Nothobranchius furzeri: one gene and its partner. Each later gene encodes a partner of the first gene's protein in a complex. Links are inferred from orthologs where the notes say so. Each region holds a gene or a part of one and is shown on either strand. Other genes may lie near its edges.

The links. The genes of interacting proteins can lie anywhere in the genome.
Region 2: smc5 (region 1) and nsmce1 share a complex: the UniProt entries of both Homo sapiens proteins name them as parts of the SMC5-SMC6 complex. The link is inferred for Nothobranchius furzeri from reciprocal best matches to the Homo sapiens genes SMC5 and NSMCE1.

The regions. Positions count from the first base shown.
Region 1 is NC_091755.1:27,651,367-27,656,930, reverse strand, and holds the start of smc5 (structural maintenance of chromosomes protein 5), read right to left. Parts: upstream 3,482-5,564; 5' UTR 3,280-3,481; coding exon 3,116-3,279; intron 2,802-3,115; coding exon 2,660-2,801; intron 2,438-2,659; coding exon 2,385-2,437; intron 2,225-2,384; coding exon 2,062-2,224; intron 1,699-2,061; coding exon 1,564-1,698; intron 1,382-1,563; coding exon 1,241-1,381; intron 1,154-1,240; coding exon 992-1,153; intron 921-991; coding exon 849-920; intron 732-848; coding exon 476-731; intron 393-475; coding exon 238-392; intron 63-237; coding exon 1-62. UniProt on the Homo sapiens protein: Core component of the SMC5-SMC6 complex, a complex involved in repair of DNA double-strand breaks by homologous recombination.
Region 2 is NC_091744.1:4,225,652-4,231,348, reverse strand, and holds the end of nsmce1 (non-structural maintenance of chromosomes element 1 homolog), read right to left. Parts: intron 4,608-5,697; coding exon 4,491-4,607; intron 2,022-4,490; coding exon 1,895-2,021; intron 1,712-1,894; coding exon 1,677-1,711; 3' UTR 1,554-1,676; downstream 1-1,553. Other genes in the region: trace amine-associated receptor 13c, read left to right, coding at 1-968. UniProt on the Homo sapiens protein: RING-type zinc finger-containing E3 ubiquitin ligase that assembles with melanoma antigen protein (MAGE) to catalyze the direct transfer of ubiquitin from E2 ubiquitin-conjugating enzyme to a specific substrate.

The DNA of each region.
Region 1 (5,564 bases):
AGGTCGTGGAAGGAGATGTGGTTCTCCACATACTTGGCATTCTGATGATCCTTTACGTTGATCTGTGATAACGAAGGCCAAGTAACCATTACGTTTTAACATCTACTTATAGGAAAACGAGATTTTATTTTTCATTTAATACATTTATGACTAAACTTGTGGGTTGAAACATCAAACTTCGGCATTTTACAGCAACTAAAACTTCTAGTAATACACATTTCCAGTGATGGAACTCACCACCAGCATCATGGGCTCATGAATGTTTCCTCTGAACAGCTGTCTGTTCTCTCTGAGCCAAAGGAGAGCGGTGTGTGTGTCCCTGTGGCGTGTCCGCAGCTTCTCTTCTTTCATGTTCATCAGGTTGTTCATGTCATTGAGCTTCTTCTGCAAGCCTGGCATTAAAATAATAAAATCCTAGCAATGCCGTCTGTTATTTTAATCATTAAATGTAAAGTCTGTTTAGTTTTAAACTCACTTCTGGACTCTGCGATGACGTTGTCCCTCTCCCTGCGCAGGTCGGCCTTTTCCGCTTCAATCCTGGCTGTCCTCTCCTGGATCTCCTTAAGTTCCACACTAATAGCAGAAATCAGCAGGGTGGTGTCTAGTTGGTCTCCGAGCTTGTCCAGCTCCACCTTCAGGTCTTCGATGGTCCGTCTAGTGTTGACGATTCTTTTCTGGTGGTCTTCCTCTTCAATCTGCTTCATCCTCAGTGCCTGTTTAATGTCATCAATCTGCAGAGGAGAGATGAGCCACAAGGATGACGTTATTTCAAACATTTAATTGTTACTTTTTTTTTCCTCTTCTTTGAGCAACACCCCCCCCCCCCCCCACCCCACCACCACCACCACCTCTTTATGTTTTCGATCCAGCTGATCTTGTTTCTGCTTGCACTTCTGAGAAGCTTCTTTGATAGCAGCAGTCTGAAACACACATGGTTAGTTTAACTTAATGTTCATGTAACAGATTTAGACAGCAAGCCACCTTCGGTCACCTTAGCTTTCATTTCTGCCTCAATGGGCTTCAGCTTTTCATCAATCTGCTGGATTTTCTTCAGCATGGGCGCCTGGGCTTGCTTCAGGGTCAAAAGCTGCTTTTTGGCTTCTTCTCGCTCCTTCTTCACACCCTCCAGCTCCTTACGAGTGGTTTCATACTCCTGATATCAAAGCCAAAGAGGGTAATCAGATTACAAACTGGATTTGTTTCCACAGTTTGTGCAGAGTGCTTTATGTGAATAACTCACCACCCACGGTTTCTTCTTCTCCAGCAGCTCGATGACGTCAAGATGCCGCTTTTTTTCATAGTAGCGGTTGACATCGAGCTTGTTCCTCTCATTCCTCTGCTTGGCCTTTTCCAGGAAACTCGTCTTCTCCTTCAAGACGTTCTACAGACAAACATCCCGCCAAAACCGCAGCGAAACGATGAGTTGCATCTTTCACAACAGCAAACATGTAATTATCATGTAACAACAATCCAGCTGACATAGCTGAGATCTCAACGGGAATTAGATTATCTAAACAGTTATTCCCAAAAAAAAACTGTTACACAAATAAAATAAAGTTTCACCTCCAGTTCTCGTTCTTTGCTGCGGAAGTTTTTAAGCTCACAGTGGTACTCGTACATTTCTGGTGGTCCAACCGACTTCTCGGTTGCCTCAAGCAACTCAATTTGGGACATTTTTGCAAACTCTCCAACTTTTTCCTGTGACAGAACAGAGAAGAAGTTAGAAAATGAAGATTTCTGACACGTTTTACTTTGCACAAGTGAAGCACTAAAGTTAAAGTCACATAGTCATCATTACACACTGGTGAAATTCATCTGCACATTTGACCTATCCCCATGGAGGGGAGTGGTGAGCAGCAGCGGTGGCTGCGCTTGGAAACTATTTGGTGGTTTAACCCCCAATCCAACCTCTTAAAGCTGAGTGTCAAGCAGGGATGTACTGGGTCCCAGTTTTAAAGTTTTTGGTATGACCCGACCGGGAATCCAATCCCTGATCTCCCAGTCCCAGAACAGACACTCTGCCACTAGGCCACTGAGCTAGATCACATCTAGAAAACCTACCTGAGGGAGGAACTGGCAGAGGTTGCTGACTTGAATTTGCAGAGTCCTGACCTCTTCTTCTACTTGTTTCAGGCTGCAGTGTCTTCCATTCAGCATCCAAAGTGACTGATTGTTCTCTACATGGATCTCTCTGTTAATTATCACATTACCTCCATTTTTGTACCTGTAGAGGCAAAAACAGACATCATTTCATGCAAGCATGTCTAATGTTATCTGGCTGGTCAACCATTAGCTTGGTACTTGTTATGCAAGAGCATCAATCTGGAATTTAGATTAAAAATACAAAAAGTGTAATAGAGGAAAATCTATGTAAAGTAACTTACAGTTCAATCTCAATAGAGCCTTTCTTGCAGCCACGTTTGACATAGAGCCCAACCTGCATAAATAATCTAAATCAATTTATTTAACCATTAAAAGCTTGTAGCAATCATGACTCTGTGGTGCATAAACAACAGAAATTAAATAGTTTCTGCAAATGTTTATATGTCTTTATTACCAGTGTGATTTTAACAAACCAATAAAAATCTTGACTCCATCGCTTTCTTAAATGGTCTTTTTCAGAATAAATCAAGTAGACCAGTGCAGGTGGTTTGTGTACCTTGTCTCCTCTGCCCAGAATTGCTGTCTTTCCAGCCAGACCCAGGCAGATGGCACATACAATGCTGGACTTCCCAGTCCCGTTAGCTCCAACAATCATGTTCAGATTGGATCCCGGATGGACCACAGAGAAGTCATACGTTCTGTCAGTGGACAGAAAACACATTTAGGAGTTTTCGGTTATGTCACACTGCGCAAAATGTTATCTTATATAGCTAATTTTACACAAAACATTGTATTTATTGTATCACTATATTTAAACAGCTAAAATTGAGCCGTTAAACCACTAATTGTATGCTAGCTGTTCACTTCTGTGCGCAAACTACGTGATCAAAAGGTTTAAAACTTTATAAAACAACAAATGGTGCTATTATAAGCTTGTATGTTATCTAAGAGCACAATGTGATGTTTGCTGGCTACCGGTAGAACTCTTGACAGTTAAGGAACTACAACTTACAGGAAGTTTCTCATCGTGATGCGAAGGATGGAACCCTCAACAAATGTACCAACGCCTCCGGCAATATCCGAGTGTCCACCTCTGAACACGCTTGCTCTGCTCGCAGAAGTCTGCGTGTTTCTGCTAATTTGACTTAATCTCGGTCTTTTACTTGATTCGCCCATAGCGACTAAACAAAATTCTCTTCGCGGCTACGGTTCGGCTACGATCACGTTGCTTATTCTCGCGCGTTTTGCTGAGCTTTTAAGAGGTCACATGTACATAAAAATGTTAACGCTAACTATCACGAGAACATGTATGAAAGTAAAACAGGAACACGGATATGCTTGTGTAATTTTTTTTATGCTTGTGTAGTTTTTGCTCATAAAAAAGTCCGAATTTGTCTCTAATGGCCAATTTTAGCATTTGCATGACTACATGCCATGGTGCTGTAAGCTGTATGCACAGGCCAATAATACTATAGCACGTAAGTTTTTGTTCACCAGTTAAGGTGGCTTTATTTAAAGCATATTGTACTCCGCTTTATACAGCCCAACTGTGGTTGAGCAGTATTTTTGGTTTTGTTGGGCAGTAATTTTGATCTTACAATCAAAGCAGCATGAATAAGCTGCATGTTGCATTCAATGATGCCTTAAGAATCATACTCAAAATACCCAGAGGGGGCAGTGCCAGTCAGATGTTTGTAACAGCAGGCATTTGTACTTTAAAGCTCTTTTAAGAAAACTAATGTTCACTTTTAGAGAACGACTGGATAGCTCTGCCAACAGTATAATTTTAGCAATCACTGATCCTGCTGTGAGCATTTGTCGCTATTTGTCCAGTATAAGGAAACACTGGCTGAAGTGTTTGTGTGGTTACTCTTGTGTGGAACATCTTTATAGTAAGTTTTTTTAAATAGATTTAGATGTTTATGCTTTTATCTTATTTGTTTTTAATGTTTTGTTTTATTTATTTATTTTTTAATCTGGACATAAGAGTCTGTCAATAAAGATCATCCATCCATCCATCTTTATCTATACAAATGAAAGCCACTTTTGTTTCACCATTTCCTAACATGCGGGTCTCGTGGCTTCTTTTCGGCTGTGGTGAGATCAGAATCGCCTCTTTACTCATTGTTCTTACAGGTAAAGCTTTAAGGCGAACCTCAAGCCGACCCAGAACTAGTATATCTGATCAATTCATCACTTCTGACCACAGCACGAAATGTGGAGGCCCCATTAGGTGTTTGTCGCCGGCTGCTCATCGCCCCCATAGAAGCTCGCGAGCGCTTTTTTTATCATTTCTAGTCAGAGCAGAGCCAAACTCAGACCAGATCAAATAAGATCACTGTGTAGGTTTTTAAAAATATACACACATACAACATGCATACTCCACATTCACTCACACAGACGCTCGCTAACTAACAACACGCACACAACCAGCCACTCATGCTATGATGGCTATACACTTCCGGCTCTATATAAAAGGAAGCGCACGCGTTGCATCATGGGACATGGCCAGCTTGGAGACTGTCGCCATCTAGTGGTTTGTTGTGGGAAAAGTCCAACAATTTTTCTTTTTTGTTGTTGTTTTGTTTTGTTTAATTGATTAAATGTTTTGGATTAAAGCTTTGCAAGGCTAATCAAAATTAAAATACTAAATTGTTCCTTGTAAACGAGACACTTTTCTATTCTTTAGTATTAAAAAATATAAACAATTCAACAGTGAGAAATCAATGTGTGTGATTTTGTTTCATTATGTTTTTATTTGTTCTTGTAATTTTTCTGTCATTCAGTAAATCAAAGATTACTTGTAGAGCACTTTTCGTAACACAGAATACTTTACATCTGATAAAAAGTTACTAACAAATAAACCCACAATTGCTGGTCAAAATAACTTGAGAAATGATTGCCTGTAAATAATCTGAGCAACTGTGATCTTAATCTAACACAGATTGATTTAAATCCAGTAAACCACATAAATAAATTATATATATATATATATATATATATATATATATATATATATATATATATATATATATATATATATATATATATACATATATATATGTATGTATACACATATATAGAGAGAGAGAGAGAGAGAGAGAGAGAGAGAGAGAGAGAGAGAGAGAGAGAGAGAGAGAGAGAGAGAGAGAGAGAGAGAGAGAGAGAGAGAGAGAGAGAGAGCATTTCAAAATAACAGTGATAAAGTTGGAGTTTTTATTTTTCACAAATATACAGTGACATCCTTTTGGGAAAAAATCCTAGTTTAAAGAACTTTATTTTTTAGGGAATACCGGTACTCAAATAGATAATTCACACAAACACTTTTTTTGTTGGTGACTGAGTTTGTTGGGAGAGCAGTCATCTACATGCTTCGTTGGTTTTAAGTGGTATTTGCGTCTGTGGTAATTAACTAATCTAGCATCCTGTGTCCTGTGGGGGTTGTGAGGTAATCTTGAATG
Region 2 (5,697 bases), on another chromosome or scaffold:
ATCTCTGCTACCCTCAGCTCCTCAACATGTCTTGTAGAGGTTTGATACGTCCTCGCTCTGAGGCTGTCCTTATCTACACGCTGCTCTCCTCCATCTCTGTACTCACAGTAGCTCTAAACCTGCTGGTTATCATCTCCATTTCCTACTTCAAAGAGCTCCAGACCCCCACCAACACACTCTTGCTGTCCCTGGCCATCTCAGACCTCCTGGTGGGGCTGCTGGTGATGCCGGTGGAGACAGTGCGCTACGTGGAGCCCTGCTGGCTCCTGGGCGATCTCATGTGCGCTCTGTCTTACATCGTCGGCTTCACCCTCACGTCGGCCTCTGTGGGGAACATGGTGATGATTTCAATCGATCGTTACGTTGCTATTTGTTATCCTCTGCAATACCCCTCTAAGGTCACCCGTAGCCGAGTCCAGGTGTCTGTGATATTGTGCTGGTTCTGCTCGCTCCTCTACAACGGGCTCATCTTGAAGGAGCACCTCAGGCAGCCAGACAGATACAACTCCTGCTACGGGGAGTGTTTGGTGGTGATCAGCTACATCTGTGGGACCATCGACCTCGTGATCACCTTTATTGTGCCTTGCTCAGTCATAGTGCTTCTATATGTCAGAGTATTTGTCGTGGCGGTGTCTCAGGCTCGGGCCACGCAGTCTCATGTCACACCTGCAGTTGGCCTGGGGAAAATCACGGCACAGAAATCTGAGAGGAAAGCAGCCAGGACCCTCGGTGTTGTGATATTAGTCTTCCTACTGGCTTTCTGTCCTTATTACTATCCGTCTCTTGCAGGACGAGACATCTCAAACAACTCGTCCTCGTGGGCCATTGTGTCCTGGATGCTGTATTTTAATTCTTGCTTGAACCCTCTCATATATGCGTTTTTTTACCCGTGGTTTAGGAAAACTACTCATTTAATCGTCACCCTGAAAATACTAAAACAGGACTCATCTCAGATCAACATATTTTAAATGTTAGCACATCAGACAGCTGGTGGGAGGTGATGCACATTTAGGCTGCAGCTCAGATTTGATTTCTTGGGACTATTTAAAACGTGGGCCATGCAACCTGCTGTTAGGATTCATTAGAGAAGATATGTGCAACTCAAGAATCTTGTATTAGAAAATAATTACTCCTGTATGTATATATATATATATAATGCATATCTGTGCAGCATGCATGCATGTTTTTACATTAACTAATAGATTTATGCAATAAATCATCTACCTAAAAAGTGTTTATATTGTTTCTGCATTTAAATGTTTTAGGATATTCTCTATTTAAACTGATTTCTTTTATCAATATGTGCAAAAAACTGTGTAAGGATGTAAGAATCTGGATCAACCGATGGCTAAAACCTCTTTTCCATAACTTTCTGACTTCATCAAATTATATTTTATACTTTGAACAACTATTGATGGTTGGACAGAAATTAGTTTTAATTCCAAATAACTAATGTTCATATGGTGTACACATAGCAGAAATAACTCATATAGACACTGCAACAAACACAAATTGAGTGCAATAATGAATGCTTTTGAAAACTGTCTACATGGAGACACTAATGAAGGTAAATTCAGGTTTTTTTTCTGTATAAATATTTTAATACATGTTAAAAGCAAACTTTGGTTAAAGGAAACGAGATACTTGAACAAATTAAAACAACATATATGAAGTCCTCATCGCTTGGACTGAGAGTGAAGCCCTCTGACCTCTGCAAAAAATAAATAATAAAATAAAACATTTAATCATGTTACAAATGAAATATTTAGTGTTTTATAACTAAAACAAACTACAGAACTGTCAATAATATAATTTTCCTTGTAGATTTTGAGATTTAATATTTTGCAAAAAAAAAAAAAAGGTACCAACAGTTTTTATGAATAATTATAACAACCTGGGATTTCGTGCGGCCAGAAGTCATCACAAGAAGGGCAGTGTGGCTCGGTTCTGCCTTTGAAGTATCTGGCCACACACGGGCTGTGGATTTTTATTCCACATGAGGGGTTGTCGCAAATTTGGCACTTGGGGAAAAGAAATAAAAGAAAATAAATATTGTTTATAATAAAAAGCCTTTTAATGTTACATTTGAATATTACAGCACTTTTGGTCATGATTCAAACTTTGTCCAAGTCTAATTTCTTAACATGAATTAGATTGCTCAATTCATTGCATTTTAATCACATTTACGATCTGAGTTTTGAACGATTATGAAAACAACGAGCCGATTATTTACTCCTCCCTTGTGGTTTACTCCGAGTTGCAAATTGAGTGCACCTCTAAGCAGCGTTGACAACTTTTAGCAACTTTGTGGCTGTTTCTAACCGCTTTTCCCTTCTTTTACTTGTTTTCTAAAAGTACCTACTGAACTATCTAGAAACATTTCTAGTAACCCTTAGCTACTTTCTGGATAACTGTCATCGATATTTCCTGCAGGATAGGAAAACACTCAGCCATCTCTCCGGACCGGCCGTCTGGAGATTAGAAAAGGGAATGATGCAGCGATGTGTCGGTCGCAAACGAAACGGCTCTCAGAGCCGGCTTCCTCACAGGTTAACCGGATCGACACACACTGGCTCCTGAGCCGCAAAACGTACACTCGTGGCACGCTGTACACGCACACACACACAGTGTGCCCCTGATTGCCGTGAGACCAGGAGAGGATGTGTGTGATCGCACCTCCAATCGCTGTAAAAGCAGGGAGAGGGGTGGCAGGTGCAAAATACCTGTGACAGTTATTACATTAACTGATGGGACCTGCCAACAAATAGTATAGAAATAAGTTAGAAATAGATAAAAATAACTTTCTCATGCTGATAATCATTCATCATTCACCTCTCAGCTCAGTGACCTAGTGGTAGAGTGTCCACCCTAAGACTAGGAGATCAGGGTCCGATTCCTGGTCGGGTCAAACCAAAGACTTTGAAAAAAATGGGACCCAATGCCTCCCTGCTTGACACTCAGCATTAAGGGGCTGGACTGGGGGGTTAAACCACCAAATGGTTCCTGAGCGCGGCTGTGTCTGCAGCTCACCGCTCCCACAGGGGATGGGTCAAAGGCGGAGAGCAAATGTCGCACACACATCAGTGTGTGTGACAACTGATGGGACTTTAAAGAGCAAGTCACCCCCTACAAGAAACTTACTTCACTCCCACTTCATGTTTGAAAAATGCAACAAATGCTGTTGCCTGGCAGACCGAGAGGGCGGAGCCGCTAACAAATACACACACACACACAGGCTCACAACGGCATTGTGACATCATAATGTACCAGATGACATCATAGCATACCTCTTAGCCAATAGCGGTGGCAGATTTAAATTCAATTACAGTGCAGAATTTTTCCCTGACGACGGCACAACACTGACAGTTATAGGCAGAATATTTGAATTTTAACCAAGATGCACTGAACTGCCAAATTATTGAGGACATGTGTCTGCAGCACGATTAGACACTCCTTTAAATAGTTTATCAGCAAAAAAAAATGTGATTTGGGGGTGACTTGCTCTTTAACTTCATCTCTCTGAATGACACATTGCTCCTGTACTCTCCCCTACAGTACCGCTGGAGGACCAAATAATTCTTATAGAAAATTTTGCGGAAGTTCACTACGACATAGATGTTTATATGTTTTATATATTTATTTTATATAATAAATGTACTTTATAACTCTTGCTGTCAGTATTTGCAAGATACTGGTTGGATGTTTGGGTCTGCATTGGGTAAGCTTAATCAATCAATCAATCAATCAATCAATACTTTATTAATCCCAGAGGGAAATTAGAGTTTCAGTAAACAAGTTCAAATTCAGCCTAAACCCTTTCGGTCATAAACGATGAGCAAGTGTATTTGCTCTGCATCGGCTGAGTCTCCACTTAAAGCCGCTGACATGGACACGCTTGCTGCCACCTGTCTCCATTCACTGCTGGCTGGTGAATAACAGTGTCCAAAACGTCATCATCTTGCTTCATTCAGATTAATTTATTCTTCTTCTCAGTGATATTCCATCTTCAAATTAATTTCAATTATCAAAATACAAAAAATGATCCAAAACAGACAGAAGATTTTACCAGGATGAACCCATAGAGTTGGCGGTTAAAAGCTTGTTTGCTCTGTCCATATAACAACACCTGTACTTCCTCCCTATATGGTACCATCAATTACCTCTAGAAGGACATCTAGTGAACAAAAATAAGAACTGGTTAAATGGTTGTTACAGGCTCTTAGATACTAGGAATCTGGAGTTTTGTGATTATCTTGTTTCTTTATTTTTTTTCTCTCTGATTGTGCCCTGTGCAAATTTATGACAATAAATAAATAAATACACTCAACATTAAATAATCAAGATCTCAATTTCAGTCAAAATAATTGCGATTATCATTTTTGCCATAGCCGAGCAGCCCTAGTATTAATACCTAAATAATTTCAGGAATTTGCCACCCGAGCATAGAGACAACAGAAAAAGGTTGTATGACGTAAAAAGGGAACAATTACCTGAAAAGCAACGCTGTGACAGATGTAGCACATCTTGACCTGATCTTGATACATGGCACGAATGTATGGCTCCATCTCTATGATGCACCGAGTGGACAGAGTGTACTCCCCTCGTTTCTAAGGGGGTAAACAACACTGAATCACACGAAAAACACAGCAAGAAGGGAACAAACTGCTTTAATATAATCTCTTAAGTCATTGTTCAACTCAGACTACGAGAGACTTGTTTAGATCTGTTATTTTATATATAATCTAGCTGTGAAAAAGCATTTTTATCCTGAAGTCTGTGTGCAGAGAACTGGAAACCAAATCTAAATGGATAAACTTTATTCCTTTCAGTGTGGCAGACGGAGGTAATGTGTTTTTGTGGGATGCATTCAAGCTCAATTTAAAGTTTGTCTGAAAAATATAAATATGTACACTGAATTTTAAAACAATGCTTGCTATTTAATAACAGTCAACAACTTGGTGTAACAGTTTCTCACACACAACTACAAATTCACACACAAATTCTATATTGTTAGAAAAAATAAGAGCAGAATCAGATGCAGTTTCCCCAAGGAATTTTCCCAGCTGTGGCGGTGGGTGGGGGTGGGGAGTGATTGTGACACGTCTCTAAATAAAGTAAAATTTTCCAGTGCAGTGTGGAGACAACCCATAGAAGCACTGATTTGATCTCATTTCAGAGAAAAATAGAACAGGTTAGATGCACCTAATAAATAAAATTACAAACAAACTCAGGAATCTGTTTCTTTGCTTCCCTGTTCTGGTGCTGAGAACATCACTAATGCGGATCAAAGGAGATGCACAGATGAATGCACCTCTTATTTATTATTTGGAGACTACATTTACTGCAGCTGGCAGAGGTAGAGATTTTTTCTATTGATACACGTAATTTACAGAATCATTTTAAATGTTAATAGGGGAAGACTGCAGGAGGGAGCGGTAAAATACAGGGGGTCCCCAGCAAAAACAAGAAACTACGAGTCTGACGAAACCCGCTGGTTTTCCATCAGGCAGTCACGGGGCAGCTCCAACGACCCAGTGGCTGTGCTGGGTCAGTGTTATCGAGCTCAGTCCGGCTCGGCCGTGAACGAGCCGAGGCGACGTCGTGCTCTGCTTAAGAAGAAGCGTTATTTTCCCGCTTCAGAAGAAGCGTCCAACGTGTTTTTACGCTTTCTCCGAGACATGTCACGTCGCTAAGTTG